Anolis sagrei: one gene and its partner. The protein of the gene in region 2 purifies or fractionates together with the protein of the main gene of each other region. This does not show direct contact. Links are inferred from orthologs where the notes say so. Each region holds a gene or a part of one and is shown on either strand. Other genes may lie near its edges.

Evidence for each region.
Region 1: the proteins of HSPD1 (region 2) and SIRT3 purify together in Homo sapiens (affinity purification with mass spectrometry; 3 studies listed by BioGRID and IntAct, counting the BioPlex papers as one, with this or other methods). This does not show direct contact. The link is inferred for Anolis sagrei from reciprocal best matches to the Homo sapiens genes HSPD1 and SIRT3.

Annotation. Positions count from the first base shown.
Region 1 is NC_090021.1:237,802,467-237,818,839, forward strand, and holds the start of SIRT3 (NAD-dependent protein deacetylase sirtuin-3, mitochondrial), read right to left. Parts: upstream 7,641-16,373; 5' UTR 7,325-7,640; intron 7,318-7,324; exon of another isoform or gene 7,213-7,317; intron 5,232-7,212; exon of another isoform or gene 5,154-5,231; intron 5,148-5,153; exon of another isoform or gene 4,961-5,147; 5' UTR 4,941-4,960; coding exon 4,865-4,940; intron 4,166-4,864; coding exon 3,982-4,165; intron 2,748-3,981; coding exon 2,550-2,747; intron 1,856-2,549; coding exon 1,623-1,855; intron 1,438-1,622; coding exon 1,337-1,437; intron 980-1,336; coding exon 818-979; coding exon of another isoform or gene 785-817; exon of another isoform or gene 632-784; intron 1-631. Other genes in the region: PSMD13 (26S proteasome non-ATPase regulatory subunit 13), read left to right, coding at 7,818-7,912, 11,013-11,091, 11,411-11,445, 11,542-11,597, 12,142-12,185, 12,426-12,512, 13,725-13,896, 14,850-14,929 and 2 more.
Region 2 is NC_090021.1:178,705,384-178,721,561, reverse strand, and holds the start of HSPD1 (60 kDa heat shock protein, mitochondrial), read right to left. Parts: upstream 8,276-16,178; 5' UTR 8,160-8,275; intron 3,687-8,159; 5' UTR 3,685-3,686; coding exon 3,511-3,684; intron 1,804-3,510; coding exon 1,551-1,803; intron 562-1,550; coding exon 479-561; intron 192-478; coding exon 96-191; intron 1-95. UniProt on the Homo sapiens protein: Chaperonin implicated in mitochondrial protein import and macromolecular assembly. Together with Hsp10, facilitates the correct folding of imported proteins.

The DNA of each region.
Region 1 (16,373 bases), about 59 Mb from region 2:
AATATGAGTTTATAGCTGAGCTAATAATAATTCCGGTTTTACTGCCTCATAGGTCACTCTCTTTACAATACACCGGGCACACATTCATTTCATTCATTCATTCAAAGAGAGTTGTAAAGTTCTTGTTTAGAGAACTGAATATTCTTATTCAGATCATCTGATTCTTACTGCTCATGTATGCAAGAACTATATTGCTCCCCTCCCCACTTGTACCTGACAGAATCTGTATAGGATGGAGAAAATATGGCTTTCCAGTGTTATTTCAAGCAACAGTGTCTCAGGCCCCTTCCACACAGCCCTATATCCCAGAAATTCAAAACAGAAAATGCCACATTATCTGAGTTTGGACTCAGATAATCCAGTGAAAAGTAGATATTGTGGGATTTTCTGCCTTGATATTCTGGGATATAGGGCTGTGTGGAAAGGCCCCCAGAGGAAATATTTTGAGAACCTCCTATTTTTTTTTCTTTTGTGCATATCTAATTGTTATCGGATATCAACCTTATTTCTGGAATCACCTAGTGACTACCAGATTCATCTTTTCCAGCTCAGAATTTGTTAGAAGTTGTTCATCTTTTCTTCATTACTCGATAGTTAAGAATCCTTTCTTAGGAATTCAATCCATGCTTACCAAGCTCTTTTATAACTTGTCTCTCACATGTCCTAAAATACATTGGGGTTTGTTGGTTTCTTTAACAGCCACTGTGTCTCTCTTTTTGCATTCTCATTGTTTACTCTATACATTTCAGAGTCCCTGAACCAATCTGTCTCGACAACCCAGCTTTCATTCTCTTCCCATGTTTCTGACAGCCCAGACCTCAAGAGAGGTTCCAATGATAAATAGCAGGTCTGCCATAGGGAAATCGGTCACATGCAAGAAGAACCGATGAGGGAGCTCTTCCCCAAAGAACACTATGTCTGGCTTGATTATTCCAGTGCAGATGGGGCATTTGGGAATCTTCTCTGCCATCACATCCCCCTGAAACAAAAGAACAAGTAAAAGAATATAAACATATATAAGACACTATGACACACTGTGACATCATATTCCCTGAAAAGACAATCCACACTCTGTACGTGCCAAGCTCTGATGAAACCAAAAGCAACCCTGAAAGAGCTTCAAAAGTAAATTCCAGGGATTTAAGACCAGTGTAATCTCCTTTTTAATATTGATTTATTTACTTCATTTCTACCCCACCTTTCTCAACCCTGGAGGGGACTAAAGGTGGCTTGCAAATCTGGCAAAAATTCAATGCCCCACAGGTAAACAATAAAACAATATTAGAAATATGCTTCTGCTAGTCCTGAAGGGGGTGTATGTTGTATTTTCTCTTACCCTGAAATCCTCACCAGGATATGATCTTCGACAGACTGTACATGTTGCTGTAGCATATGTGCCATGAGCCTCAACTAGTTTATCTGGAGGAATTCCTGCAACTAGAACACAAAAGGCAGAGAGAAGAAGATCAGTTGAGCCAAACTCTTCCATCAACCACAGTTACAGTTCAGTAAAGTGGATGACACTACCAATCCCACAACCCAAAATCTCATTGCTACAGACTGACAGGGCCTCCATGTTGGCTTTTGTCTAAGACTCTAGTGCGTGTCTGTCTCCAGCTTACCTCTTTCCAGTCCATCAATGTTTTGGGTGTATAAGCGCAGCAGGATCCCTTTGTCATACAAAAGACGGAGGAAGTAGTGGGCATAATTAGGCCTGTAATTGCCTGGGTACAATTCCTTACTTAACAAGAAGAAAGGCTTAGGATTGTGAAAAAAGTAGTTAAGTTCAAAGATGGCTTCTGGATATGGAATATTATACTGCTGGAGATTACTATATAGCCCACTCCCAGGGGACCTGCAAAAAGGGAAAAAAACGGGGAGAGGGTTAAAATGGGATGTGGAATATGTTAGGGAAGTAAGCCCCTGAAAGGTATCATCTCTCTCTGTGAGAGTGAGTGGGTGAGTAGGATCAAGGCCCTTTACACTGATCTAATGTAATACCCTAGAAAGACCAGTATCCACTAATTGCAGTAATACAAAAGTATCTAAATACATAGACATTCAGTGTATACATACAATACAAATGTAAGTAAAACATAGGATTGTTACATTCACATTAAATAAAAAAGTTGTACCCTGCCAAGAAAGGAAACTACCCTTAATAATTTTTAAAAGCACCCAAGTCTCCTTTTTCTGCCTATGCTCTGCTCCTCATGTGACTAATGTGAAGGCTGCTGACAATATCTTTTACAGATAAAGACCCAACATGGTCCCCATCTACACTGACCAGATTCAAACTGCAGTGGCCAGACAACAAACTCCCACAGAAGCGTGCAAAAGAAAACCTTAATGCACATCAATGCTTTGTGGTATGTAATCATCATCTGGGCTTCAGACCAGTTCCAGTGTTTCTACATATCCATCTACATAGTAAAACCACTTTCTTCAATATCAGTTTGAAACAACATTAACTGGGGCCTAGGTGGTAGCCATGGGGCAATGCTCGTGCAGTTAAGAGGGCAAGGCCTCCATTTCAGCTTTTGTGTTACCGGAAATCAGGGATGCCACTGGGAGTGCTGAGCCCTGCTCCAACCATTACCACTATTCTGTGGCATTCTTTCTTTCGAATTAATTCTGTCACATCTTTCAGGGTGAGCTTCTCTTTTCCACTGTTGTCTCCCCCTTTGCCAGCTCCAAAGAACAGCATTGGTGAAGTGGATAGGGAAAAGTGCCTGACTCCTTGGATCCTGCCAGCAATATAATAAATATGCAAGAGATTACAAAAGAACACTGTTCACCAAAATGGAATTACTGAAGCTAGGATAAAACAGTCTGAGCAAGTATTAGGGAAATTAAAAACTGGTCTTGCAAACTTGCTTTATACATGGGGATACAAATCAATTTGTCTTTCTGACAATGCTTATCCTTTCAGATGTAATCAGAAGTATATTTTATAGAGTCTTTCTCACATACTTTTTTGAGTTTGGAATGCCATTGATGGATTCCATTCTTCCAGGGCAACAAGGATAGCAATTGCCTGCTTGTTTCCAATGCCTGTAGGTCCAACTTACACATTGGGGTGGAATTCGAAAGTGTTGGACAGGGGGAAGAAGATGGCAGTAACAACAGTTGCTTTACTCATTATATCTCTTCATAGCATTAGGCTGAGAATGCCAGCTGGTTGGTACCAGGACTATTATCTACCTCCTCTGGTGTCCATTATTAACTGTCCCCTGGTAAGGTCAAAAGTGGTGGTGCTTCTGGAAAGCACTTTCCTCAAAGCCTTGTTCAATCTGAAATCAGCTTTGGAAGTACTTAATCCAGCTGTACTCTACAGAAACACAGATCTTGTGCATTCTGAATCACAATTAGTATTTTCCAGGGTTCATACTCTCAGCACTGTTTTAGAATGAGTGGCAATAACAATGGCAAATTTGACAGGTCCAGGATACTGGTGGAGTGTGCTTGGCAATATAAAGAAGCAAGAGGAGCTGGATCTGATGGTTTTTGCACTAAGCAGGGACACGATTCTCATGACTGAAGCAGGAAGGACAAAGATAAGAGAAATAACAGCTGCTATTTGGAAGCATATGTCTTGGAATTTGCACATATTTCTTTTTCCTAAGCAATCCCATAAGCCCTTAGGTAAACTTCTAAGTGATCATGTTGTGTCTTTCTGCTTCTTCAGCTGCAAATCCCACAACCAATGATGTGTGTTGCAGTGTAGAATCGGAAGGGCTTCAAGTTCTCCAACCCTGATTATAAAGAAATTCTTTTAGACTGGTATAAGTTGACCTGAGCTCATCGGCTTGCAGAGTTCTCAAACTGAGACTGGAAACATAAGACTAGCCTAGATTATCAGATTCAGCATGGACATTTAATATGCATCAGGAATTACTATAATTCAGCAAGTTAACAGGAAACATGCCAGAATGAAAACCCATAGTAGAAAGAGTACAAAAAGCAAACATGAGTTCATACCTGTCTTCAAACATGCTTGACATTTTGCTAATGTTATCTCCTGGAATCCTCTGCAGTAAGACATGTCCATTTGGAGGAGAAAAGTTTGGTCTTAATGAAATGAGGGTCATATTTTTGTGTGCTATAGAAATAAAGGAGTTCCTGTAATGGGACTGCTGAGCACATATCCAGAAATACCTCCAACCTTTTAAAAACAAACAAACAAACAATTATTTTCAAATGCAGAATGTGAAATGTTACGCAGAAGGAAAAACCACTCAGTTAATTCAAACTTTATATAGCTGACTGTTTTCTGGAATATACATTACTATTGTCTACGATGTGTTTGCTACTGGGCAGGCAAAGAAATAGGATTTTGCCCCAAGTACGAGCTCACTAATCTATGCATGCTAAGAGAAAAGATAAAGAAAAATACAAAGGTGGGGAGGGGTCTTACATTTTAATTCTCCTTTTACTGTTGAGATAATAGTAGAATTACAAATCATTCTGCTTACCAAAACTTCTGTTAACAAGCATAAATGTAATGCAGTTTCAATTCTGAACTAGGGTTAAGTAGTATATGCTTTGAATGAAGAAATGTATAAATTCAGGTTGTGACATTGCTAATTTTAAAATTTCAGGCTGCAGCAGGGTCAAGAAAGACTTCTTTCTTCCAGAGATCCTGAAGAGATGCAATTAAAGCAGTCACTACTTTGTACAGAGGAAGTTGGACCAATGGTCTCATTCACCATAACACTGCATTCACTTTTCTTCGTTTAATACTAAAAAAGATTTTACATACACATATGTGGGATTTTCCATTCCAGCTCTTCATATTCCTCCCAATATTCAGGGTGCCCTTTTTAGATAACATACTGTTCCCTTGAATTAGTCTTCTACTCACCCATTAACCTCTCAAAACTTGCAGCACGAAGTACATGCTTTGCTACTGAGACTCTGAAATGTAATCGCCAGTTCATTCCCTGTTCACTGCTGGGTCCTGTACAAGAAATAAGAAATGCAAGAGAAAGTTGTCTGATATGTTTCTGAATGCCTTTCCTTCTACTGCTTCTGAAAAAATTAATGGTTCCACCAACACAGCTGGACAGGACCCTGTTCGTCTTCCTCCTCCCCCTTGTTGTATCAGTGATGTGAAGGTTGTGGGAGATTTTCTAGAGCATAGAGCAAACCACCTTTCTGTTTGCTTTTAGTGATCTTCAGCCAGGAAGAACAGCTGAACAGCTCTTTACCGTAATGTTCCTAATAGGAGAACCTAAATTAGCTTATGCTTTGTAATAGCTTAGCCTTTTAAAGGTTATCCAAGAGGAAGAAAGCAGATACTAGGAAATTACAATTACTTTATCTCATCAGATCTTTCAATGTTGTAATTTCCCAAGGAGGCTCGCATATTTTAGTTCAAAAATCTCAGTATTAAAGCACAGGCAATTAAAACCTTTGCCTGTTTTTTGCACTATTAAGTGCATCGAGATTTTTTGCAGATCTCAGAACAGCACTACTTTTCCAGAAGACCTTGTCTTATCTTATTTCAAATAAACACTGATACCGTTAATTTTTAATTATACAATCTATAGTTATGAAAAGGTGGCTCATGTTGCTGGACTGAGCAAGACAGCCAAACAAGCAAGATTCCTGGTGACCAACACATGCTGCTGAAAATCATAAAATCCATACAATTGAGTCTTCTGCCTTGATGCAGCTATATTCACATCACCTCTCCAAAGATCAAATAAGATCACAGCATGCTACTGTGGATGAAACTCGTCACAGAAAATCATATTAGACCTTAGAGAGTTAGAAATTATTCAGTGCATTATCTCATTCCATAAATGTTTTGAATAATCCTCTTTTCTTTCACAACTGTGATTTTTTTTTGTCAAGGCTAACAATGCTGATCAGTTGTTAGGTAGTGGGCATACAGTCAGCACACAAATATGCTTCCTCCTAGGATGAATACAACCAAAACTGAAATTGAAGTCCCTCTTACAGATTGCCTTGCTAGCGTGGTATGCCCAGTACAAATTTAGCTGTTAAATACTGTGGTTTTGAGAATGTTAGGACAATGAATCAATGAAATAATGCTAAGTAGGAAAATGCTATGAGAAGTCAGAAATGCTGTCATGACTGTGCATAGCTTGATGACAATTTTGGCAATGTTGAACTGCTGAAGAAAAATACTATATATACATAGAAAAAGCAAAACCAAAAGTACAAATAATGTTGCAAATACATAGAATTACCGTGTGTGTGTGGGTGTTGGGGGGGGGGCTCTCAAAATAAGAATCATGATTACAATTTCTCCACTGTTAATTTATTACCCTCTCCTATCTCAATTACAGTATACGTTTGTGAGGAACTTGCAATTTGTTTAATCATGCTTTTGCTGTTGTTTCCTGTGGATGTTTGACAAGGTGTTTTTAGTTTGGTATGAACCACTGTGTGTACAGTACATTGCATCCCTTCTACAGATTAAATAAAGCCTTTGTTGTTTGCCTTCAGCTGGAGGGTCCTGATCTTTCCAGAATATTATTTAGAAGATCTTGCCAGGCGACAGGCCCTCATTATCCGCAGCACTTAGAAAATCAAATTTCAAACCCGAATATATGAAATGGTGCTTTAAATTTCCAATGTTCTGCAGTTATTACCTTTTGTATTTTTGAATTGGGAAAAGGATATTTATTTATTTTTACATTTTTCTTACCCAAACCTCTTTCCCAAACGTTTAGTTTTTCTCCCAAGGTGGCTCCTACTGGGCCAGGAGCTTGCCTTCCTTATTCTCTGAAGGCCTGCTCCCAAAGGTTTTGGGGACCATGGATTCTGGGATGTGAAGTCCAAAACCTGTGTTACTCTACTTCATCTTCAAGGATACATTTTCGCTACCGCCTTCAAAATGTTGTAACAGCGCAGATAATTTCGACAGCCCTCAACACTGAACTTGCTTATCCTGAGACAGGGGCGGCTCAACCCATTACACAAAGTAAGCTTTTGCAGTATAGTTAATTTTGCCCAGGGGCACTCTTGGAGGAAAGTAGACCTTGACATATGCGAGTTGTAGTTACTGGGATGTATAGTTCACCTAAAATCAAAGAGCATTCTGAATTCCACCAATGATGGAATTGAACCAAATATGGCACACACAGAACTCCCACGACAAACAGAAAATATATATCAGTGACTGGCTGGGGGGGGGGGGGGGGGGCGCCAAAATAGTGTTTGCTTAAAGTTGAAAATTACCTAGGGCCACCTCTGTCCTGAGAGAGGCACTGTCGCAAGCGAAACACGTGTGCTGTGTGCTAATGCCACCCAACAGGCCTATATGGGGGGCGGAAAGGGGCTTCTTACTTACTTAGAGAAGCTCTACTGTTCTAAGTAAGGCGCAGGCCTATGTTGTCATGGGGACCGATTCCCCCCCCCCTTCCCAGCCTGGTCTCTCTCCCCTCACGCGGGGTCGGCCAAATGAAATTAAGCTTCGACCCCATCGGAAAGCGCCGGCTCCGGTGGAGGAGTCTAGGCCGCCGTTGCCTTGGCAACCAGTCCTTCTCTGTGGGACTGGCATTGTGAATGGATGCGGAGGCCCTATACGAATGTGCAGGCCTCGACAGAGGCGACTAGGCCTCTGTTACCATGGTGACCAGCCCCGCCCTCCCTTCCTCCCTCCTCCAGCACTGCTGCGGCGGCGGCGGCTATGCGGGGCCATACGGTACCCAGCATGCCCTGCGCGGCCACTGCCGGAAGTGAGTGTGCATTTCCGGCGGCAGGCAGGGCGGCCCGGCCTCCTGCTTGTGCGGCTTCTTGGGGTCACTCACTGTTCTGTCGTCGCTCCCGCTGCCGGCGCCGCCATGAAGGACGTCCCGGGTTACCTGCAGCAGAGCCAGAGCTCGGGGCCTGGCCAGGCCGCCGTGTGGCACCGCCTGGAGGAGCTCTACAACAAAAAGTGAGCGGGGAAAAGGGCGGCCCAGGCCGGCAGGCGGGCGGGCGCGTGTGGCCTTTGGAAGCCGTGGGGCTGCTCGGTGTGTTTCCTCCGAGGCGCCTCACTCAGGAGGTGTTTAGGTCTTGGACATCCTGATGCTGGATTTCCACACCCCCCCTCCCCCCCAAATTAATGCAGTTTGATGAGGAACCATCACTCTGGCAGAAGATGCTAAAAGATCTTGTAAAACTACATCTCCCGTGATGCCATGGTATTGAGCCATGACAGTTAAAAGTGATGTCAAACCATTCATTATACAGTGTGGATGCATCTATATCAGACATGGGTAAACTTGGGCCCTCCAGGTGTTTTGGACTCCAACTCCCACAATTCCTGACAGCCTCAGGCCCTTTACTTATGCTTAAGCGGCTGAGGGGGAAAAGTAAAGGGCCTGAGGCTGTCAGGAATTGTGGGAGTTGGAGTCCAAAACACCTGGAGGGCCCAAGTTTACCCATGTCTGACCTATAATGTGCTTAATACAGCTCTGATTTTCCTCTTCCCTTTCTCTTCCTATTTGGTCTTGCTCACTCCCGTTTCTCAGCCTTGACAAATCTTTTTATGTATTGTCGAAGGCTTTCATGGCCGGAATCACTGGGTTGTTGTAGGTTTTTTTCGGGCTATATGGCCATGTTCTAGAGGCATTCTCTCCTGACGTTTCGCCTGCATCTAAGCATGCCATAGATGCAGGCAAAATGTCAAGAGAGAATGCCTCTAGAACATGGCCATATAGCCCGAAAAAAACCTACAACCCAAATCTTTTTATGCTATTAAAAGCTATCTCTACCCAGATTATGCAGTTTTCCTGCCCCTTTCTGTAGAAGCGTGCACTACAGATGGTGTTTCCTGTATCTGAAATGTGTTGAGACCAGAAGTGTTTCAGGGCTGGATATTTTTTTTTTTTTGGTATTTTCAAATACCTGTATTCACATGTATGTATATGTTGGAGACGAAATCCAATTATGTTTCATATTTAACTTATACATGGCCTGCAGGGAATTTTATGCAATATTTTGAAATATTTTTGCGCATGAAACAAATTTTGTGTACATTGAACCATCAGGAAGCAAAGGCCTCACTATCTTTGCCACTAACATGTTTGCCATGTTTAATGTTTTAGAGTCTACTGGTTTTAATCTATTGTTATATGCTATTTTAGTTATGTGTTGTATTTTATATTTTGTGAGGCATTGAATTTTGCCATTTGCCTTGTTGTGAACCGCTTTGAGTCCCCTCAGAGCAGTGGTTCTCAACCTTCTTAATGTCACGACCCCTTAATACAGTTCCTCATGTTGTGGTGACCCCCAAGCAAAAAAATATTGTTATTGCTACTTCATATCTGCAACTTTGCTACTGTTATTATGTAAATATCTGATATGCAGGATGTATTTTCATCACTGGACCAAATTTGAATACTGGTGGGGTTGGGGGGATTAATTTTGTCATTTGGGAGTTGTAGTTGCTGAGATTTATAGTTCATCTACAATCAAGAGAATTATGAACTGCACCAATGATAGAATTGGGTGAAACGTCCCACACAGAACCCCCATGACCAACAGAAAATGTTGTGTTTTCTGATGGTTTTTAGCGACCCTTCTAAAAACCCCTCGCGACCCCTCCAGGGGTCCCGACCCCCAGGTTGAGAACCATTGCCTCAGAGACAGAGAAAACTGGTATATAAATGAAAGAAAGAAAGGAATAATAAATGCATGCACAATTTCAGATTTTGGAACATCATTTTGGATAAGATATGCTCAGTTGTGCACTTGAAAGGTAATTCCTCCTAGATTACCTTAAGTGGTTTTCCCGCCCCTTACTCTGGAGACCTATAGGTGGACTTTATTATCTTTGTAAACACAAGTTTTGAAGATGGTTGCATCCTTCAATGAATTTTTATACTGACATGTTTCACCTTGTTCTCCTATGGTTGGTGGTGCATTAACAGTTTGCTCTTTTGATCAGACGTACACTGCTGAGTATTTTCGGCTCACTGGCTGCAGTATATACCCCATTTTGGTCTGTTCACAACTGAAGATTTTCCTTTCCTTCTTTATCGCGAGAGCAAAATATCACCTAGTATAGGGTTACCATGAGTGATTCCAGCCATGAAAGCCTTTGAAAATACATTTCTCTAGTATAGCTTCACAAAAACATGTTAACTGTGGGGCTCCAGTATATGACAAAGACTTTAAACTAACATCAACAAATGAGAAAATTATTTTGTTTGTTTCATTGAAAAGTGGCAGTGTGGGTGTTCTGCCATAAAATGTTTGCATAAAATGTATATATAATATGTAATAATTAAAGTGTGACCGTGAGTATATGAAATGCTCTATAATGAGTCAAGGCTTTGATTTATCTAGCCTAGTATTTATAATGCCTAGCAGCAACTTTCCAGATCTCATTAAAGGGTCGTGTTTGGGGGTTTTTTTGCTCAGTCACCTAAAATTACAAAAGTAGAATCCCTAGGCTGACTACACATCAGGGATCCTATATCTGTAATAGTTAGATCTGGAGCAGATAAAGCACAAATACTGGATCTTCCCTCATCCTCCCTACATTGATTTGCTGTGTTCACTTCCAAGCAATTTTCAGTGCTATACATCCAACTATAGAAACAAACACATTCATGTTTCTTCCACTGCTTCCACCTGCTTTGCAGAAGCCAGTAAATTATCACGTTGATGGAGCAATGCAGTAGCTAAATAGTGGATTCTGAAGAACATAAAGGATGATGCGTTGCTTAGTTCTGTCTGTCAGAGCTTTATACAAAATTTTCTGATCCAGAAACCTTTAACTAAAAATAGACAAACCATATTTAATTGTACTCAACCTGGCAGCCTGATAAAGTATCAGGGTTTTTTTTCATGCTCTCCTGAGAAATTAATTTGGTTTTTAGTCTTTGTTTCAACCCTACTCAAATTAGATTTTTAATTCACAAGTACGTTTATCTTTGACAGATAACAAAATTTGTGCCTCTACAGATAGCCAGAATACCCAGTTTTACAAGTAGCTACTGCTATATTAGCATTTTCCGTTCCCATCAGTACCTCTCTCTATTTTACAGACTCTGGCACCAGCTGACTCTCCAGGTTTTGGATTTTGTACAGGATCCCTGCTTTGCCCAAGGAGATGGACTCATCAAGGTAAAGTTCCTAGTATTATAGTAAATTGTAATGATATTGGGTTATATTATGAATATTTTCACTTCTTAGATGCCTTGAAATTGTTAAGTAAACTTGAATTTTTAGTAAAACAGAAACACAATCTGTTTCCTCAGTATTTGAGAAGAGGAAGTAAACTTAGTATCCATGGGGGATACGTTTCTGGACTTACTATAGTGAAAATAATGAATAATAGCAAACTTAAGTGTCACCAACATGAAGAGTTTGGAAATACCTGTCTTAGATAGTTGTGACCAACAAATATAATATTATGCTAAAATTGATTATTTTTTATTTATAGTTATATGAGAACTTCATCAGTGAATTTGAACACAGGTAAAACTTCCAACATTCATTTAAAATGAAAATAACCTATATTTTTGTATTTACTGTTCATGACTTCATTTGTGCATATTCTTTCTTTTACTCTAGGGTGAACCCCTTGTCCCTTGTAGAAATTATTCTTCATGTAGTGCGGCAGATGACAGGTAAAACCATTCTCTTTTTCGTTTTGGTGTGTTTTCCAAAGTGGAATAGTTCATAATGCAGACATGTCAACAGATTTTTAAGAAAATCTGACAACAGTTGTCTCTTGGGTGAGGAGAACAAATCATACTTTTAGATTTCTATTGATAGCAACTATTAAACGTATGGGCTTTTAAGGTCAATATATTATTTCATAGTGAGAAGATATTAATGGAGATGTTGAGTGTCTGTCCCTAGGGGTGTTCCAGACCTTAGGAAATTTACAGCCCAGAAATAAATTAAACAATTACTGGGTGAATATTTGGATAAGAGTGTCCAATCTCTGACTTTGAGCATTAAACCAGAAGCTCATTTAGACCAAAGGTCTGAGTAAATGTTTGATGATTCACTTTTGCTGGGAATGAAGGGAGGAAGATGACCTGAGCACCATCAAATTTACCCCAGGGAAAACACAGTGAAAACAGACTCTCAGTACTAAGAATTTTAGTGAAAGACTAAGATGAAATATTGTGAACCTTAATGTGATTTCCACTTACACCTTTTTAGATCCTAATGTGGCCCTTACTTTTCTGGAAAAGACCCGAGAAAAGGCAAGTATGATTGTATGAAAGGCCTATCAGCCATACATGCAACTATTCTTGTACATCTGCAAACTACCCTACAAACTAGATTTGCTAAGAAATGACCAAAACAGGAATAAAGTCAGTTTTTGAACCCAGTGAAAATGATACTGCTAGTGATAAATTGCCTTGAGCAATTTTTTAGGGAGAAAATAAAGTTAACAGAGCTTTTAACTGATGTTTAGATGTATTTCTATGTTGTGGCTCCAGGTGAAAAGCAGTGATGAAGCTGTGATTCTTTGTAAAACAGCCATTGGGGCCCTGAAATTAAATATTGGTGACCTGCAAGTCACAAAGGTAAGACAGTATTTATATTTTAGTGTTAATGTGTCTTGTCTAGATATGTAATGTCACATGATTGGCAAATTTTGTGCAATGCTTAGTTCTCAGTGTTTCTGTCTTTTGGTATATGTTGGTCTTTTAGTTACTGAATTCTTTGGAAAAGATTAGGGTCTGTCCAATCCTTGTGCTCAGTTTTGATGTGTATTACTGCAAATATCACACCACAGGTTGAGTATCCTTGTCCAAAATACTTGGAACAGAAGTGTTTTGGAGTTCAGATTTTTTTAAAATATTGAAATATTTACATTTGCATATGAATCCATAATGAGATATATTGGCGATAAGATCCAGGTTTGGACACAACATTTCATATACACCTTCTGCACATAGCCTGAAAGTAATTTTATGCACAATATTTCTAAGACTTATATTCATGAAACAAAGTTTGTGCACATGGAATCATTAGAAAGCAAAAGATGTCACTATGTCAGCAATCAATCTGAACAATCTTTCATTTTGGGTGTCAGATTTCTGGATAAGGAATTCTCAATCTGCACTGAAAATTGTAATGTGAGTTTTTCTAACAAGTGTATGTTACTAAGGATGTAATAATTAGGTATAACTAATGATATAAGTTCTCCTTAAGTGGCTAGAGATTATAACTTTTGATATTTAATTGATTCTTTCTGCTGTTATCATCTATGTATATTCTATATATAATCACTATAATCCTACACTACAATCCATAACAGAGTGTAACCATTTCACATTTGTCTGAGAGGCACATCTTTCAGTGCATTCATTCTTTGTAGAAATTAAGGCTAGCATTGAATTTGCCACAAACAAACTTGAAAGGTTTCTGTACCTGTGAGTTCTCTGTCTTTGATTAGTTGGGACACAATATATTGCATAAATAAAAGACTGTATGTATCCTGCATTTTGAATGAATCAGATTTATGCCACTGTTTATAGCTGCAGCGTTTTCTTCCTATTTTAAAATATTATTGTTTCTTGTCATCCTTACTATTTGAGAATTTTCTGCAATTTCCTTGTGATATTAAGAGATTGAAATGTGACAAGACTGGTCATACGCTGGTGTATAAAGACTTTCTGTATATGTTTCAGATTTCGATATTAATGTCAAAAATATATAGTATGATTTTACATAGGATTTGTGCTACATTGGAGATCAACATGAAGAGACAATATCCCATCTATTTCCATTAGGAAACCATAGAGGAAGTTGAGGAGATGCTGAATAATCTGCCTGGTGTGACATCTGTTCATAGCCGCTTTTATGACCTCTCCAGCAAATACTATCAGACAATCGGAAATCATGCATCTTACTATAAGGATGCTCTAAGGTTTCTGGGATGTATAGATGTCAGAGATCTACCAGGTAATGTTCCTTTTTTCTGTTCTTAAACATATTGCAATTGTACTCATGGATATTTGTATCAAGTGGAAGCTTGTATGGTGGTGGTTGGAGTGTGGAGGGATGTGTGTTGGTTTTTGTGATGTGTGCTGGGGAAAGCATTTAATTTTGTTGTGCAATGTACAATGGCAATAAAGTTATTCTATTATATTCTTGAGAGTATTGCTTGCCCTCTGAGTCTCAGAACATGAAGCTTAGAACAGGGAAGAAAATTACTTGATCATGGTAATTTGTTTATTGAATCAGTTATACGATGATATTTAGTATTTCAGAAGCAGGGGTCTAAGTATTATAGCTTTCTAGTTTTAGTTGGCTAGAAAAACTTTGTATTCTGTGTCTGGAGCCACTTAGGGCAAAAGTTATTAGAATAAGACCTCTGTAGGATTTTTAGAAATACTCCTTATTTTAAAATAGTGGAGGCTTCGTCTTTGAAGGCTTTTAAACAGAGGCTAGATAGCCATCTGTCAGGGGTATTTTAAATGAGCTTTTCCTGCATGGTAGGAAGTTGGACTGATGCCCATGTGGTCCCTTTCAACTTATGATTCCTTTTTTTTTTTTTTACAATTGCACCCTCTCCACAACTAAACTAACAAAGTTTTGAGGGTTCTCTTTGTCCTTCATGCAGAAAAACCCATCTCAGTTGGTTTTCATTTTTTTTTTAAAGATCCTTTAGTACATAGGAATTTGGCATTGTGTGTGCATGTATAGATTTGTTTTGCTTTTAGGGGAAATCTACATTTAAATTAAATAATATACAGATGTGCTGATGGAAAATATTGGTGATCCAACTTCTATTTCAAAATGATATAGATGCCACTTACTGGAATCTATCAACTACTGTGAGCTTGGGAAATCTTTAGATACTAAAAGGCTGGACTGTAGAACTTTTGTTTGACCGAGGACATTTTTCCTCCCAGTGGCAGACCAACAGGAGAGAGCTTTTACATTGGGGCTGGCAGGACTCCTTGGTGAAGGAGTCTATAACTTTGGAGAACTGGTAAGTAGCAGAACTTTACTGTTTAAATTGTTGTGGTAGAGGAAGCTGGCTGCTATATTTCAGCATCTTGCCTCTTTTCCATTCTCAGCTTATGCATCCAGTGCTGGAGTCTTTGAGGGACACTGACAGACAGTGGCTGATTGATACTCTTTATGCCTTCAACAGCGGCAATGTGGAGAAATTCCAGGCTTTGAAGTCAGCATGGGGCCAGCAGGTAAGTACCTGGTACAAGGACAGTAGTGAGCAACTAATAGGTGAACAGGTATTTCTGCAGCCTGTGAGGGACTAGAAAAATATGAAAGTACTGTACATGACCATTAACATGTCTTCTAATTAAACATAAGTTGAAAGCCCATTTCTAATTTCAGTTTGAGGTTTTCCCATTACATTGGGCATTATCTAAATACTTTGGGAGGAGTGCGAGAGTAAATCATTTTACTTGTGGCTTTATGAAAAGGTTTTAAGGGATTCATCTGGACATCCCTTAAACATTGAAAGCTTTTTTTTAATGTCAGGAGCAACTTGAGAAACTAAGTTGCTTCTGGAGTGAGAGTATTGGCTGTCTGTAAGTACGTTGCCCAGGGGACACCCAGATGTTTTACCATCCTGTAGGAGGCTTCTCTCATGTCCCTGCATAGGAAGCTGGACGGGAGCTCCCCCCGCTCTCTGGATTCAAACTGCTGACCTTTCAGTCAGCACCAGGGGGCTCCTATCCTTAGCAATGAAATGACAAGGATTGTGGGATTGGCTTGGGGCATACATCTTGCTGCATTATAGCCAGGAAGGTTTTTGGATTAACTTAAGTTCTGAACTATCATGTTTTATAGCCAGACCTGGCTGCAAATGAAGCTCTTCTCCTGCAAAAGATCCAGTTGCTTTGCCTCATGGAGGTGAGTCTGTACCAGAGAGATTTGTCTTTATTTGTGCTAAATAGTCCTTTTTACCCCAAATCTTTCTATGTATTATGTTTTTTAGTTATATATTTTTATTTAGTCTTCTTGTACATAATTTTTCTTTAGGTATGTGACAGTCTCCTAGGGCAACATGTGACTTTTGTGTTGTATTAAATCTGGATGATACTTAAGAATCCTGGAAATAACTGGTCATACTAGATTGTTGTTCTGCAGGTATCTCTCCATTATTGTTATGAACCATCAGTCTTGCAAAGCTAAAGGAAGGGACCGCCATCATCAGTAGTACCCCACTTTTCTCTCTGGATTGTGGTTCACAACCTTAAAAACAATACAAATTTAAACCTACAAAATATAAATATAAAAATAGGATTCTACAATTATCAAAACAAGTCAGTTTAAATCACATTAAAACAAATAAGCAAAAAAACCCCTTTTAAAATAGATTGAAACACCATTGTGGTTGAAGTAACTAAAGAGTTTGCCAAATTATAAGGCCCCACATCTGTGTAAATGAAATATCTCAATATTTT
Region 2 (16,178 bases):
CTTGGTTATTAGATTTTTAAGCCTATGTACCTTAAACTAAAACTTAAAATGGTTCAGGGGATTCAGCAATTTTTATTCTCATATACACCTCTTACCTTAACTGTTATAACACCCTTTCGTCCAACCTTTTTCATTGCATCAGAGATTATGTTGCCAATTTCCTTATCTCCATTTGCGGATATTGTTGCAACCTGTTAAATAAATAAAAATATAACTTCACTCTCTTCCTGAAGCCAGAGGACAGAAAAAGTAACCACAATTATCACAGCACAAATTTTAAATCTGAAATATTGCATTACATGACAGTGTAGACTCAATGCAATTAAGCTGCATTCTTAAACTGAATTATATGGCAGTTCAGATGGAGCCCGAGAAAGAGAAATATCATTCTGCTAGTCCTATTAAATAGCATAACTCTTCTGTGAGAGAAAATAGATGGAAAAGAGAACCAATTTATTTATGAAGAAATGAGTGTTACCTGAGCAATTTCTTCGGGAGTTGTGACCGGTTTGGACAATTTCTTTAATTCATTAATTGCAGCATCTACAGCTAGCATCACTCCTGGGGAATACATGACAGTCAATCAGATGATGATTATGTTTATTTACACCTTATCTCCATAAGGAGACTCAAAATGGTTTACATTAAAAGCATTTCACAGTACAATTTAAAATCTAAAAGGTAAAGGTTTTCCCCTGTCATGTCCAACTCTGGGGGTTGGTGCTCATTTCCATTTCTTAGCCGAAGAGCCGGCGTTGTCTATAGATACCTCCAAGGTAATGTGACCAACATGACTGCATGGAGCGCAGTTACCTTCCTGCCAGAGCGGTGCCTATTGATCTACTCACATTTTGCATGTTTTCAAACTGCTAGGTTGGCAGAAGCTGGGGCTGATAGCAGAAGCTTACACCCGCTCCCCGGATTCAAACCTGCGACCTTTCGGTCAACAAGTTTAGCAGCTCAGTGGTTTAACCCACTGTGCCACTGGGGGCACCAATTTAAAATCTTCTCAGTACTTACGATGGCAAATACATAAATTAATATGACTTCAGCCCCCAAACCTATTAACAAATATCATCACAGTTACATAATGCATAACCATATTAAACATGGGAAGTTTCAACACATTACTTGACAGAAAGTACTAGAGCAATAGTTCTCAATCTGTGGGTCCCTAAGTGTTTTGGCCTACAACTCCCAGAAATGCCAGCTAGCTTACCAGCTTGTTATGTTTTCTGCAAGTTGAAGGCTGAAATATCTGGGGACTCCCCGGTTGAGAACCACTGTGCTAGAGTAGCCTTGTAATGAGGCAATTTTCAGACATTTTAAAGTAAGCCTTCCATCAAGTTCCAACAATGATGGCTAATTGCTATGGATAACTGGAAACATAGTCTAAAACCTTTGGAGGATGCCACTTTGGGGTGGGAATGCTGCATTTAAATGTTGTGGAGTCATGCAAATTCCATTGAAAAACTTTACCCAACTCAATTTTTACTGTACAGTCAGACCATTAAAACACAAAGCAAGACAAATTTTATCAAGATTGTTACCTCTCCTAATTTCCACTGGATTTGCTCCTTTACTGATCTTTTCAAATCCTTCCTTTGCAATTGACCGTGCCAATACTGTTGCGGTTGTGGTACCATCTCCAGCCTCTTCATTGGTATTGTTGGCAACATCCTGAACCAGTTTGGCGCCAATGTTTTTGTACTTGTCCTTCAAGTCAATGGCCTTGGCTACTGTCACACCATCTTTTGTCACCTTAGGGCTTCCCCAGCTCTGTTCAATGATTACTGTTCTCCCCTGTTAATGCAACACATGATTTTTTTTAAAAAAAAGGTTTGCACACCTTGTGTACAATTTTTGCTAATGTTTACTGTTTTTAACAACCCAGAATGAGAGTTTTGCATCCAAAACAGCTTTTTGGTTTTTTCCAATACTATCAGAGCCTTTTGGCAGCTCGCTGCTTTATACTGTGATTCACACGATATATTAACAACACATCAGTGTTGACCAGGACAAGCAGCAGTCAGAATAAAATAAAGTGAATGCTCCTATTATGTGGATGTTCATGGAGCTGCTGGAATAGAGAACACAAACCTAAGTAACCAGCAACCATGATACCATAGCAATAAATAAGAATACAATGAAGTACTCTGACCAGCTTTGGTGATACAGGGGATGGTGATAACCACACTTATCTGAGAAGTGGGTGCTTATATGATACATACACCAACTGGAATGTCTCTGAAATTCATTCTTGACTATTGGTGGGACTCTTCCAACAAACGCTTTGCTAGGAAGCTTGCAAAACACATCTCCCTGGCTCTCTGAGTGTCTCTTCCGAATGTGAGGTCATGGAAAACACAGCAGAGGGAGTTCTGGGCACCTGACATTTTTAAAAATGTACTCAAGCAAATCTTTGGACCTCTGCCCAAGAAACCACAAGCAGGCATGGAGGCTAATGGGAATAAAACAAAGTAGGAACCTGATGGAAACCTGGAATATCAACAACCAAACAACAACTACCAAGAGACTTCAAAAACTTAATAGTAAACTTAGACTCACGCCACTTATCTTTTTTACTGATTAAGAATAAGCCTCAACTGCTACCTTGCTCCTTTAGAGTACACAATTAAAATGTTTATTTCCACAGGGTACCCTCCACACCCTCTGGAGATGGCCCCTCAGCTTATACATGAGTCAAGGTTATTTATTATTTTACTGTCATCACCATCATCATTATCACCATCATTATTACATTTATGATTTTACTCTATTATTACATTTATTATTTTATTCTATTAGTTATTATTACATTTCCATTATAGACTCTATTAATAATAATAATAATAATTTATTATTTGGCTATTATTATTGGAAGGATATATAAGCACATTTACATTGAAGGTGGTTATAATAATGGTTTAATCAGAATTGGAAAGTCTTATCTGAAATTACAGTTTTATGTAAATATTCAAAAGCATTTAACCTACTGATGCCTCAATTAATGTAATTTTATTGATATCTATTTTTATTTTGAAATGTACCAGTAGCTGCTACATTTCTCAACAGAGATCACCAAAACTTCTGGTTACAGCAGTCATAGAAGATAGTGAACATTCTCCACTGCATTTATTCTCCATGAAGCTATAATAGCCCTTTCTGTTGGAAATTGGAAAGAAACCTATTCCATGTTGTATGGTAGTCCTGGCACTGTAAATCTCCCACACAATACAGTTTGCTCCTGCTTCTTTTCACTCTGAAATCTCATAGAATGTGAGGTTGCCTCATATTTCACTCACCTTGCTACAAACTCATTCACATCAGGCAAGTATGTTAAGTTGCAGTATCTTTACAAGCAAAACTTAAAAATAAGAGTCCAAGGGTATGAATTAAGTGCTTGTAAGCATACTCGATACATCAGGATGTATTAATCACATGTTCAATCCTCCCACCGGGAAAAAAAACCAGACTTTTAATCAATTCCATGAAAATTAACCTCTGTACCTTTGGTCCCATGGTGACAGCCACAGCATCGGCAAGCAGGTCCACGCCTTGCAGCATGAGCGCTCTCGCGTCTGCTCCAAATTTGACATCTTTTGCATAGGCTCTTGTAAGGTGTGGGGCAAGTGCTCTGGACACCGGCCTCACCTGACGAAGCACTGTTGGCAAACGTAGCATTTCTATAAACAAAGAGATAAAAATTACACAGGCTTCAACATGAGCAGAGTACCTAGTGTCCCAAGCCTGGAGGCTAATCTTCAGTGCAGTCTGTAACCATGAACTCCAAGCTTATGTGGCCTTCAATTAATTACATAAAGTATCCAATCTCGTACATCAACTCTTTTCCACTCTGTTATTTTGCCACTGAAAGAACCACCAAGCAAACTGCTTGCCTTTAGGAATGCTAATTAATGTATGACATAGGTCCGTTTGCATTAATGAGCCCATGGGTCTCTTTGAGGTATAAAAACTAAATTGGCCTACAACCTCTTCCCTATGCCCTGAAGTGATCCCAAAAAGTTGTGTTTGATCATAGCTCCATAAACTTTATCTGGGTGTCAGCAGCACTGCATTCCCAAATAGTGTTCTTCCACGAACCGAACAGCGTGACCACTAACAGATCAAAGAAGGCATAATATGTCCCTTTAGCAGCAATCCCTGTATTGGCAAGCAAAAACTTTTTATTCTGCTATGCTTATGACGTTCAAACTGCACTACTGTTGAAAGAGAAGTCTAACTGGTTGAGTTTTAAATTTCTTTTTTAATGTTATTTTTGAATACCAACTTTGTTTTTGATCTGCATTTTATTCCCACTAGGCTTTTGGTTAGAAAACAAATCCTGAGGCCCTTCAACACAGCTCCATAAAATCCCACATTATCTGCTTTCAACTGGGTTATATGACAGTGTGGACTCAGATAAGTCAGTTCCAAGCATATATGGTGAATTATCTGCCTTGATATTCTGGGTTATATGGCTATGCTGAAGGGCCCTGAAATAAGCGTCCCTTCTACACTGCTATATAATCCAGATTATCAAAGCAGATAATCCACATTATCTGCTTTGAACAGGGTTATATGAGGTCTAAAAGGTAAAGGTTTCCCTTTGACATTAAGTCTAGTTGAGTCTGACTCTGGAGGTTGGTGTTCATCTCCATTTCTAAGCCAAAGAGCCAGCATTGTCTGTAGACGCCTCCTTGGTCATATGGTCGGCATGACTGCATGAAGTGCTGTTACCTTCCTGCCAGAGTGGTACCTATTGATCTACTCATTTTTTGAAGTTTTCAAACTGATAGATTGGCAGAAGCTGGGGCTAACAGTGGGAGCTCATGCCACTCCCTGGCTTTGAACCACCAACCTTTTGATCAGCAAGTTCAGCAGCTCAGCGGTTTAACCCACTGCAGCACCAGGGGGCTCCTATATGAGTCTACACTGCCATATAATCAAGTTCAAATCTGGATTTTATATGGCAGTGTAGAAGGGACCCCAGTTTATAATGGTGAAGGGACTGGATGGACCATGAGGTCTCTCCCAACTCTAGATTCTATTATTCTTCCCCATGGCTCCAAATGGTGAAGGTGTCATTGATATAGCTGAACCTTGCTGTGGGCTTTTTTTTTTTTTTTTGCCATTTCAAGGCTTATTAGAAATGTGCTTTCTCTGCCTCACCAAATTACAACTCCTAGGGTTCCATCGCATTGAACCAGGGATGCAAAAATGGGCCCAAACTACATTAATTCCGGAGTGTAGATGGACCCCGTATCTCATTCCAACAGTGTCTATTACAGTTGGTGTCTGAGAGAGCTATGCATTGAGCTTTTTCACCCCCCCCTCCAAAAAAACCCTTTTGCACATTTCCTCCTATGATCTCTTTGCCTTTGGACCGAAGTGGGGGGTGGGGAAAGAGAAGCACAATTTACTGAAACTAATCTTAGGTGACCCAGGATGGTGTAGTGCAGTCGTTCTCAACTTGGGGTCCCCAGATGTTTTTGGCCTTCAACTCCCAGAAATCCCGACAGCTGGTAAACTGGCTGGGATTTCTGGGAGTTGTAGGCCAAAAACATCTGGGGACCCCAGGTTGAGAACCACTGGTGTAGTGGTTATGTATTGAACCAAGATTTTGAGGGACAGGGGTTGAAATCTTGGCTCACAAAAATCCACTTGGTGGCTTGGTCACACTCTCTCAGCCTCAGAGGAAGACCAAGGCCATTCATTGCTGAACAAATCTTGCTGAATCCACCAAATATGGAGCTTATGGTTCACACACGGGCAAACTTTGGCCTTGCAGGTGTTTTGGACTTAATCTCCTACCAGCTGTTTGGAATTGTGGGATATGAAGTCCAAGGCGCCTGGAGGGCTGAAGTTTGCCCATGCCTTTTATACGATTTTTGGTATGCACTGCAAGGATGGAGATAGTCAAAGAATGAAAACAATTAGAGAATGTTTCTAAACAGAATAGAGAGTTTGTCTGAGTATGAATTGGTAACAACTCCAAAAAGGTACACAACTTTATGGAAGTACTGAATACCATCAACTTCTTTCACCCCACCCCGCCTTTCATCTCAAAACTGGTTGAGTCTGTATCAAAGTCAGAGGAAAGCAAGAGCATGGACTCTGGTAGATGGGTTAACTTGGGTAGAAGATAAAATGAAGCAATGAAGAAGAAAGGGAGTACAACTTGATGCAAAGGGGGCGGTGTGGGTGGGCAGAAGAGGGGAAAGTCCAAGGAGCAAGCCAAGCATATCTTGGGGCCCCACGTGCGCTTTCCTCGCCATCCGGTCGCGCCGCACAAGGTCAAATGGAAAGAGGAAGAGAAAGGCCTTGTGCGCCCCCTGGAGGCCGGAGAGCGGCGCTGCAAGCACCTTTGCAGACTCCTCCTCTTACATAGCCAGAGGCACCCAAATTTGAAAAGTAACACACAGATCAAGGCTCATAAAGGCTCATCGGAGGCCCCCTTCTACCCTGATCATTTAATGATAACCTCCCAAGACAAGAAACCCCCGCAAAAGGCGTGCAAAGAGAAAGTCCTTCATGACCTCCAGGGCTTCCTATGTGTAATCAACCTGTCTCAGAAACATTGAGGAGGAAGAGACCACATGCATGTAATCACTAACAGATGGCCACCTGACCTCTGTTTAAAAGCCCCCAAGGAAGGAGCTTGCACCACACTTCGAGGCTGAGAGTTCCACTGCTGAACAGCTCTTACAGTCAGGAAGTTCTTCCTAATGTTCAGATGGAATCTCCTTTCCTGTCATTTAAAGCCATTGTTCCTAGTCGCCCAGCCTCTGTTTAATAATAACAACAACAATAATAATAAACCTTTATTTATACCCCGCTAACATCTCCCGAAGGACTCGGTGCGGCTTACAAGAGGCCGAGGCCAAATGCAACAGTAAAACAATAGCATAACAACTACAACAATAACACCACGACACAGTTAAAATCTAAGGCCGGGCCAAATGTAATTATTAAAATATTTAAAAATGCTGGACATAATCAAGTGAAATGGTTTTTGGAGATAGATGCAGTATGCAATTAATCTTAAATCTCTAGTAATGTGCATTTGAGACATGATGCTTGGAGTTTCCTATTCTGGGAAGGCACACTGGAACAACCACATCTTCAAGCTCTTCCTAAAGACTGCCAACGTTAGAAAACTGCATTAATTAAATAAGCAATCACTGCATCTTACTGCTGGAGAAAATAACAGGTGGGGCTTGGGGGGGGACCAGCCCAATTCTAAACCAAGTCAATTCTGGGATGTGTAGTTTTGTGAGAGATTCCGCCTCCTGTCTCACACTCTGGCAAATGAAACACGTGCCTCTTCAATACTTTTAGTTCCCTTCTACACTGCTACATAATGCAGATTATAAAAGAAAATAGTCCACATTTATCTGCTTTGGATTAAAGGAGTCTGCACTGCCATATAATGCAGTGCAGAGCAGATCATCTGGATTTAATATGGCAGTGTTGGGTCCTTTCCACACAGCTGTATACAATCCACAGTGTGGAAAGGGCCTTAGAAGCCACGCTGCAGAATCATAACTTCTTTAAACTGCCCCCTGTGGGATGTCTCATTCCTGTGGGATGTTTCATTTTGTGAGATATTTAGCCTTTTCTTTCCAATTATAAACCCTATAATCTATAAATTCTATAACCATGTAGTGAGAACACTTAAAATGGTATTGAGAGGCCATTATGATATTATTACATCATCCTGGGGATGGGAGTAGTCGCAGGCCCCTTCCACACAGCTGAATAAAATCCCACATTATCTGCTTTGAACTGGAATATGGTTCAATGTGTGGATTGAGATAACCCAGTTCAAAGTGTGGATTGAAATAACCCAGTTCAAACCAGATATCGTGGGATTTTCTGCCTTGATATTCTGGTTTATATAGCCCGCAGTCCAACCCTTTATTCCGTTGGCTATACTCTAAAACTCCTAAGCAAATAAAACCAACACTCATTTTCATAATACACCTAAAAGGAAACTCAGAGATTCCCCCCCCCCCCCGCAAAGGTACCAATTCCCTAGTCCCACGCTTTCCCTCGCTCTCAGCCGGACCGTACCACTTTCCTCAGAAGGGGTGACGGCTGAAAAGAACTCCGAGACTTTCCCCTTATTTTGCACCCCCTACTATGTGAGGACTTACTTGCAAGAGCAGCGGGACGATCAAGGGAAGGCAGAGAAGCTGCTGCTGAGCCACGCGCGCACGCAGCTCGCAACCCCAGCGCGCGACTCTCACGTCTCGCGACTGCACCCTCCGGCCCCGCCCCCTTCTCCCCTCTCCCTCCGGCCGCATGGGAGAGGCCCCGGAACCAGCCTAACCGCACACCCTCCCGCCGTGACGTCACCCAGGCGCAACTTTCCTGCGAGTGAGTCTGTGGGCGGGGCCAGCCGAGGCTTGCCTCGCGCGCTGTGTGGTTTATTCAGATTCCGGGGCCGCCGGGTTCGAGAATTTTCTGGTAGGCCCATGCTCCGCCAAAGGTCGCGGGAAGCATTTCGCAACTTCCGGAGGCCATCCCTGCCTTTCCCCTTTGCCCCCTGAGAGAAAAGTATTAAAACTAGGAGGATTGCGAGTGAGCAAAGCAACCCGGCCAAGGATCTGTGTGAAATTGACTAATTATACATCCAAAGGGTGTTTTCTTTCTCGCCCCCCCCCCCGGTTCCCTCTTTCATAGCCACAGGAAGCAATAGTTCCCCATCCCGGACGGGGTGTGGCGAGCGCATGCGCAGTGTGCCACGCTTTCCTTTTTTTCACGTGCGTTCCTTCTCTGCGGATTGGACGGAGCGCGCGAGCCGTCGCGAGGAGGAAAGAGCAGAAGGGCGCGCGCCATGGTAAGGCAAAGGGAGGAAGGGGGAAAAATATGTGGTCCTTCTCTATGGGCCCTTCCACACAGCCCAGGATATCAATGCAGAAAATCCCACAATATCTGCTTTGAACTGGGTTCAGATAATGTGGGATTTTCTGCCTTGATATTCTGGGATGTAGGACTGTGTGGAAGGGCCCTCTGGGGTTGGACTGGATGGCCTTTGTGGATCTCCTACTACCCCCTCTATGAGTTACACGTGGGGATACTGGAGGAGTAGGTTCTCTTTATCACAGCCACTATGGCCTTCAAAAGAGCCCCCGTTTTCAGAAATTGTGTTTTTTCCTTTTTTCCTGCGAATGGAAGAAGGTTCAAGGACACAACATGGAGAAAACCGCATGATAGGATTGTCGTGGGTTTGCCATAAATCAGAAACTACTTGAAGGCAAAGAAAGGTATGGACCTTGGGAAACTATAATTCCCAGGACCACATAGTAAGGAGCTATGATATTTAAAGTGGGGTCCAAGAGCATTCATTCCATAGTGTAAGTGCACCAAAAGAAGGATATGGTCTTTGGGAAACCATAACTTCCAGGACTGCACAGCATGGAGACATAGCATAATAATCATCACCCAGACATATCATGGAAGGAAGGGAAGGAAAGGACCTATGGCCTTCAAAAGAGCCCCCGTTTTCAGAAATTGTGTTTTTTTCCTTTTCCCCCTGCGGATAGAAGAAGGTTCAAGGACACCGCATGGAGAAAACCGCATGATAGGATTGTCTTGGGTTTGCCATAAATCAAAAACTACTTAAAGGCACACAACCACAAGACGATTCAATCAAAGAAGCTATAGTGCTGAGTTTTCAGGATCTAAGCAGGGCAATTATAGTTTTGGGTGGTCTCTCATTTATGTGAATCCATGGGCCCTTCCACGCGGCCCTCTATCCCAGAATATCAAGGCAGAAAATCCCACAGTATCTGCTTTGAACTGGGTTATCTGAGTTCACATTCAGATAATGTGGGATTTTCTGCCTTCATATTCTGGGATAGAGGGCTATGTGGAAGGGCCCATGGATTCACATAAATGAGAGACCACCCAAAAGGGCCCTCTGGGGTTGGACTAGATGGCCTTTGTGGCGTCTCCTACCCCCTTTATGAGTTACACGTGGGGATACTAAAGGAGGGGGTTCTCTTATCACAGCCACTACAGCCTCCAAAAGAAATTGTGCTATTTCCGTGGTTTTCCTGCGAATAGAAGAAGGTTCAAGGACGCAGCATGGAGATGTAAAAACTCCAAGCTAACCCAACAAGGATCTTTCCTGTCAGGATATGTCTGATGGTGAGGGCATACTTTTGCAGATGTGTTGTCGAAGGCTTTAATGGTCGGAATTGCTGGGTTGCTGTGAGTTTTACAGGCTGCATGGCCATTTTCCAGAAGCATGCCCTCCTGTCATTTCGCCCACATCTATGGCAGAGGATGAAGGGTCTGTTGGAAACTAGGCAAGTGGGGTTTATATATCTGTGGAATAATGTCCAGGGTGGGAGAAATAACTCTTGTCTGCTTGAGGTACGTGTGAATGTTGCAATTGGCCACCTTGATTAGCATTGAATGGCCTTGCATTTAAGTGTGGGTGAAAGGTCAGGAGCAACTGCTTCTGGAACATGGCCATGCAGCCCGGAAAACTCACACCAACTGACCCTTCCAGATATTTTATTCAATCCTAGGGTCCTTCCACATAGTCCTCTATCCTAGAATATCAAGGCAGGAAATCCCACATTATTTGACTGTGGACTCAGATAACCCAGTTCAAAACCAATATTGTGGGATTTTCTGCCATGTTATTCTGGGATATAGGGCTATGTGGAAGGGCCCCTAGAGTTTGGAAGAGACCCCAAAGCTCATCCACTCCAACCTCATTCTGCCAGACAGGAACACACAATCAAAGGCCCCTTCTGCACTGCCATATAATCCAGATGAGCAAAGAAGCTAACTCATATTATATGCTTTGAACTGGATAACATGAGGGCCTTCCACACAGCCATATAAACCAGAATATCAGGGCAGAAAATCCCACAATACCTGCATTGAACTGGGTTATCTGAGTCCACACTGCCATATATCCCAGTTCAAAGGAGATAACGTGGGATTGTATTCACCTGTGTGGAAGGACCCAGAGTCTACAGTGCCATATAATCCAGTTCAAAGCAGATAATCTTCATTTTATATTGCAGTGTAGACAGAAGTCTAGGCATCCCTGACAGATGGTCATTCAGCCACAGCAGCTGAAAAATTACCTCAGGTACATAGGTATATAAAATAGGTATACAAATACAACATTTACTGCTAACAAATTTGCACTTGCAGGGCTTGCTAAACAGGCTGAATTTCCTTTTTATGAAGCCTTTTTTGCAATTGGCTGAAAGCACTACACCTGGTTACTAATAGATTTGCATTCAGACCCAAAGCAGATAATCCTACATTATCTGCTTTGACCTGGGATATATGGCAGTGTGGATTCAGACAATCCCATTCAAAGCAGATATTGTGGGATTTTCTGACTTGATATTCTGGTTTATATGGCTGTGTGGAAGGCCCCTCAGAAGACTTTTACTTTTGCCCATGTTTTGGCTTTTTACTTTTTTGTGACACCCAGCATTGAGCTAATGGGACCCCATTTGGGGTTAGGATCCACAGTTTAAGAAATCTTGGCCTTGGGGTGTGATTTTATATGCTTTTATGTTTTTAACCTCGATTGTTTTAATATGAATGATGTTAAAAACCATTTTAATATTTGTATATTTTAAGTTGTGTTGAAATGTTTTTTGCTGTGTGCCACTTTGAGTCTCCATAAACAAAATAAATGATAAATAAATAAATACGTGGTCACCAATATTTCCATTACAGTGTTTGAAGTATTTCTGAGCAGCCTTGTAATTGCATGCCCTCTGATTGTTTCTTTTACTCAATACACTTGACAAAATCCTTTAATTTTGCAATCTGTTTTCTCAAGTGGGAACCTACACATGAGGAAACACATTGTTATGGAAGGCAGGGGTTCATGGTTAGAGACAAACTTAACTAAGGTTTGAAAATGCCTAAGATCACATGATGGTCAGAACACGTGGATTAATGTTCTGCAGCCGTTCAGTGTGCAGGATCTACTTTTTGCCCCAGTGGTGGTAAAGAAGCATGTAGTGCACATATCTAAATGGATTTGGTGCTTGATGAGAGATTGGTGGCAACTACGGTAGTGTTTTAAAAAAGAGCATTTTCAGTTTTCCAAGTGTAAGGAGTTTGTTGTGTGCCCTCAAGCCCTTTCCAACTTAAAGGTGGCCCAAGGTAAGTTTATGACAGGGGTTTCTGGGGCTCAAGGTCACCCAGTGGGTTTCCATTACTAGAAGGAAAATAATCTTGGTCCCCAAAGCTGAAGTCCCAACATTCAAATCACTACCTCACGCTGGCTCATAAGGAGTTTACTTGTCTGCATTTTTTGGATACAGTCTTGATTCCAGAGAAGTTTAGCTGACTTTGTCAATAGTAATTGCCGTTTAAACTGCTTATTTACTTAAGAGTGAGAATTCTTAGTAGGGGAACGAGTTTTGAAACTTTTAAATAAAATATGGTTATCTGAGTCCACACTGCCCTATAATCCAGTCCAATGTGGATTTTATCAAGCTGTGTGGAAGGGGCCAACACCACAAAGTTCCATATCTGCCCTATGGACTGGTAGCTAGATATTAGGGAGATATGTTTGTGTAGGATTTATTTTTAGCTTTAACATTGTTTTACAAGATAACTGTAGAGATTGGTTAGCAATTCCCTTTTGTATGATTAATTCTTGTTATTTTTATGGACTGAACTTAACTGTTAGCCACAGCATTAAAGGCTTTATAAAAATGCAGAAATTATTTCTTGTCGTGAACAAAATTTAAAAGTCTTCAGTAGGACACTTTGTCCTTCAAGTAACTGATCCTTTGTTCTGCCTGATAGAAAATCCGTTTTCCCAATCACTGCCTCTGCAACAGCGACATCTAATGGGTTCAGCTATGCTGGCCTTTCTCCTATTTTCTAGCTGCTTCTATGAGTGCCTTTTTTTATACAAGCCTGGAGGAAGCTGGGAGGGACTGGGAAAACAGCCAGGGCCATCTGCATTGGATCATTTCCTTCTCAACATTGTCTAGTTTACTTTTTAACTAAAATCAGTGGCTACTCTCCATGTTCGTTATCTTTTCTCTACTGCCTGTTTGGAAATCCAGGTTTGTTTTACATCACAAAAAGAAAAATAATGTTGGCAATAAAAAGTATTGACTTGCTTTCTAAAGATGACAGAAAAGTCTATAATTAAGCTACTTGAGGCATCCAAATCCAAATGGGAAAACGGAAAGGACGGTTACAAAAGTTAATGAATATTCTACAATTCAAAGTTCAGAGTGCTGATAATGCTGAATACACTTCTGCAGTTAATAATTTCCTTGTGGTGATTAACAGTTAAACTCAGGACCATATTCTTACTAACTGCATTGTTTTCTTTTCCAGATTATTCATTTGCAGGTTAATAAGTCAAAACTAGGAATGCACTGAGAGGCATTCTTGATTATATATTTGGTCTTAGTTGAAATTCATAATAATTATATATATATAATTTTGTGTCAAAAGCATTGCATAAATAAGAATAAAAAACTGATAGAGGGAGCACAAGCATCTAAATAGTTTTTGTCCAAAAATGGGAAACAGCAACCACATTGTCTGTGGCTTTAAACAATTCTTCCTCTGGGCATGAGGCAGGGCATTGTGGGCAAGCTTATAGGTGCAGAGTTGTTTGTTCTGCTCCACAGTCACACAAGATGGAGGATTCTTCTAGGTAGTGCCATTTTGCCAGGTTGTCTTTTGATCTGCCCACTCCACTTCTGATACTAATTGTAATACAACATTTTTATCACATTTCTATAATTTCATCCAATCCAATATTTGTGAATTAATTATTAAATTTGACTTAGTAATTTGACCAACAACATTTCAAATAAGATCACTCAGGGAGTCTTGGCTACTTTGATCTCTGATAAGGATGTTCATTTTGCAACGAATTATTCTCCAGGGCGAAATGTATGAGGCCTTTTTTCAAAGTGCCCAGAGGAGAAATTCCAGCAGTGGGTGCAGCTGAAGGTATTGGCAGGGCCAGGAAACACATTTAAATACCTTCAGATAATCCTCTTTACAAGGTTGGGCAAAGTGCAGCCCTTCGGATATTCCCAGACTGCAACTTCCAGCATTTCAGCTGTACTGGGAAAGAATTATGGGAGTCTGATCCAGCAAGATCTGGAGAGTTGCATTTTTCCTGCTCTTTCCCTCTTCTCCCAATTAATGATTGAAATTAATAGAAGTGGAGATACTGGATAGGAATCACATCATTTCTGCTCATGGGTTATATCCACTCTGCTGATTCCCCATTTTTCATATGTGGAGTCACAGGACAGCACAAAATATGTTGTGCTAATAGCCTTCGTGTTTTCTCCATTCTTATTATGCTGAATCTGTACAGCTAAACCTCCAGGAAGGCTTATTCTGTTGTTGTTGTTCATTCGTTCAGTCGTCTCCGACTCTTCGTGACCTCATGGACCAGCCCACGCCAGAGCTCCCTGTCGGCCGTTACCACCCCAAGCTCCCTCAAGGTCAGTCCAGTCACTTCAAGGATGCCATCCATCCATCTTGTCCTTGGTCGGCCCCTCTTCCTTTTGCCTTCCACTTTCCCCAGCATAATTGTCTTCTCTAGGCTTTCCTGTCTCCTCATGATGTGACCAAAGTACTTCAACTTTGTCTCTAGTATCTTTCCCTCCAGTGAGCAGTCGGGCTTTATTTCCTGGAGGATGGACTGGTTGGATCTTCTCGCAGTCCAAGGCACTCTCAGAACTTTCCTCCAACACCACAGCTCAAAAGCATCGATCTTCCTTCGCTCAGCCTTCCCTAAGGTCCAGCTCTCACATCCGTAGGTGACTACAGGGAATACCATGGCTTTGACTAGGCGGATCTTTGTTGCCAATCTGATGTCTCTACTCTTTACTATTTTATCGAGATTGGACATTGCTCTCCTCCCAAGAAGTAAGCGTCTTCTGATTTCCTGGCCACAGTCTGCATCTGCAGTAATCTTTGCACCTAGAAATACAAAGTCTGTCACGGCCTCCACGGTTTCTCCCTCTATTTTCCAGTTGTCAATCATTCTTGTTGCTTATTCTGTAGCTGGTGTCATTTGAATAAAATACCCCCGTTTAAGTTGCCTTAGTTAAAACCTCCACAAAGCTTCATTGTCCACAGAGCAGTTGTATGAATCTGAGCATTTTCCAGACTGCCTTCCTCTCTGTGTGTCATATTCGCTGTAAAGAGTAGAATCATTTCCTGATAGATTCACATGATTTGTAGCTGAGAATCACATTGCTTTGTGGTTTATCTTAACAGGCAGGGCAGGCCTTTAAAAAATTTCTTCCGCTGTTTGACCGAGTCCTGGTTGAAAGATGCATAGCAGAGACTGTAACGAAAGGAGGCATCATGCTCCCAGAAAAGTCGCAAGGAAAAGTACTACAAGCCACTGTTGTGGCAGTTGGCGGAGGCTCCAAAGGCAAGGTGAGTAAAATGTCAACCTTGGTCCACTCCAATTTCACCTCAATGCTCTGAGATAGATAGTCTCACAACCTCTGACGATGCCTGCCATAGATGTGAGCAAAACGTCAGGAGATAATGCTTCTGGAACATGGCTATACAGCCCAGAAAACTCATAACAACACAATGATTCCAGTAATGAAATCTTTGACAACATGGTCTGTTAGGCTTATTCTCCTGTTAGTTCAGTTTCCACAGCAGCTGCTCCCATCACTTTTTAAGATTTGGGAGAAATCCTAAAGTTGTAATTCTGGGCAAGTTTATCTGTAAGACCCACTGAACTAACACCTTTTTCGCATATGCAATAAGGCTGTGTTATTTATGTATTTGGTGCCTTCTTTCCAATCTAGTTTTTCTTGTTGGATGAGGGAAGGAAGAGAGAAATTTTACCTGATGTGTTATAGACAGGTGGAGCTTGCAGTTCTTACTTTTTAATCCATATACCACTTTGCTTGCAAACTGACATGATAGAAATGGAAGAAAGGAGGAAGTTAATAAAATAATTATACACTGTGACCTACAAAATCTTATGTCAAATCAAATACATTTGTTTCACATTCTATAAGATTGTTTTTGTTGCAGCTCATAAATTAAGTCATTATTCAGGTAGCAAGCTCTTGGGTTAAATCTACACCTCTTGCTGAATTTGGCTACTACTTGCGCTAGCTGGCTATAGTTCAGTGGGTCACAAAGGCCACTAGGATGCC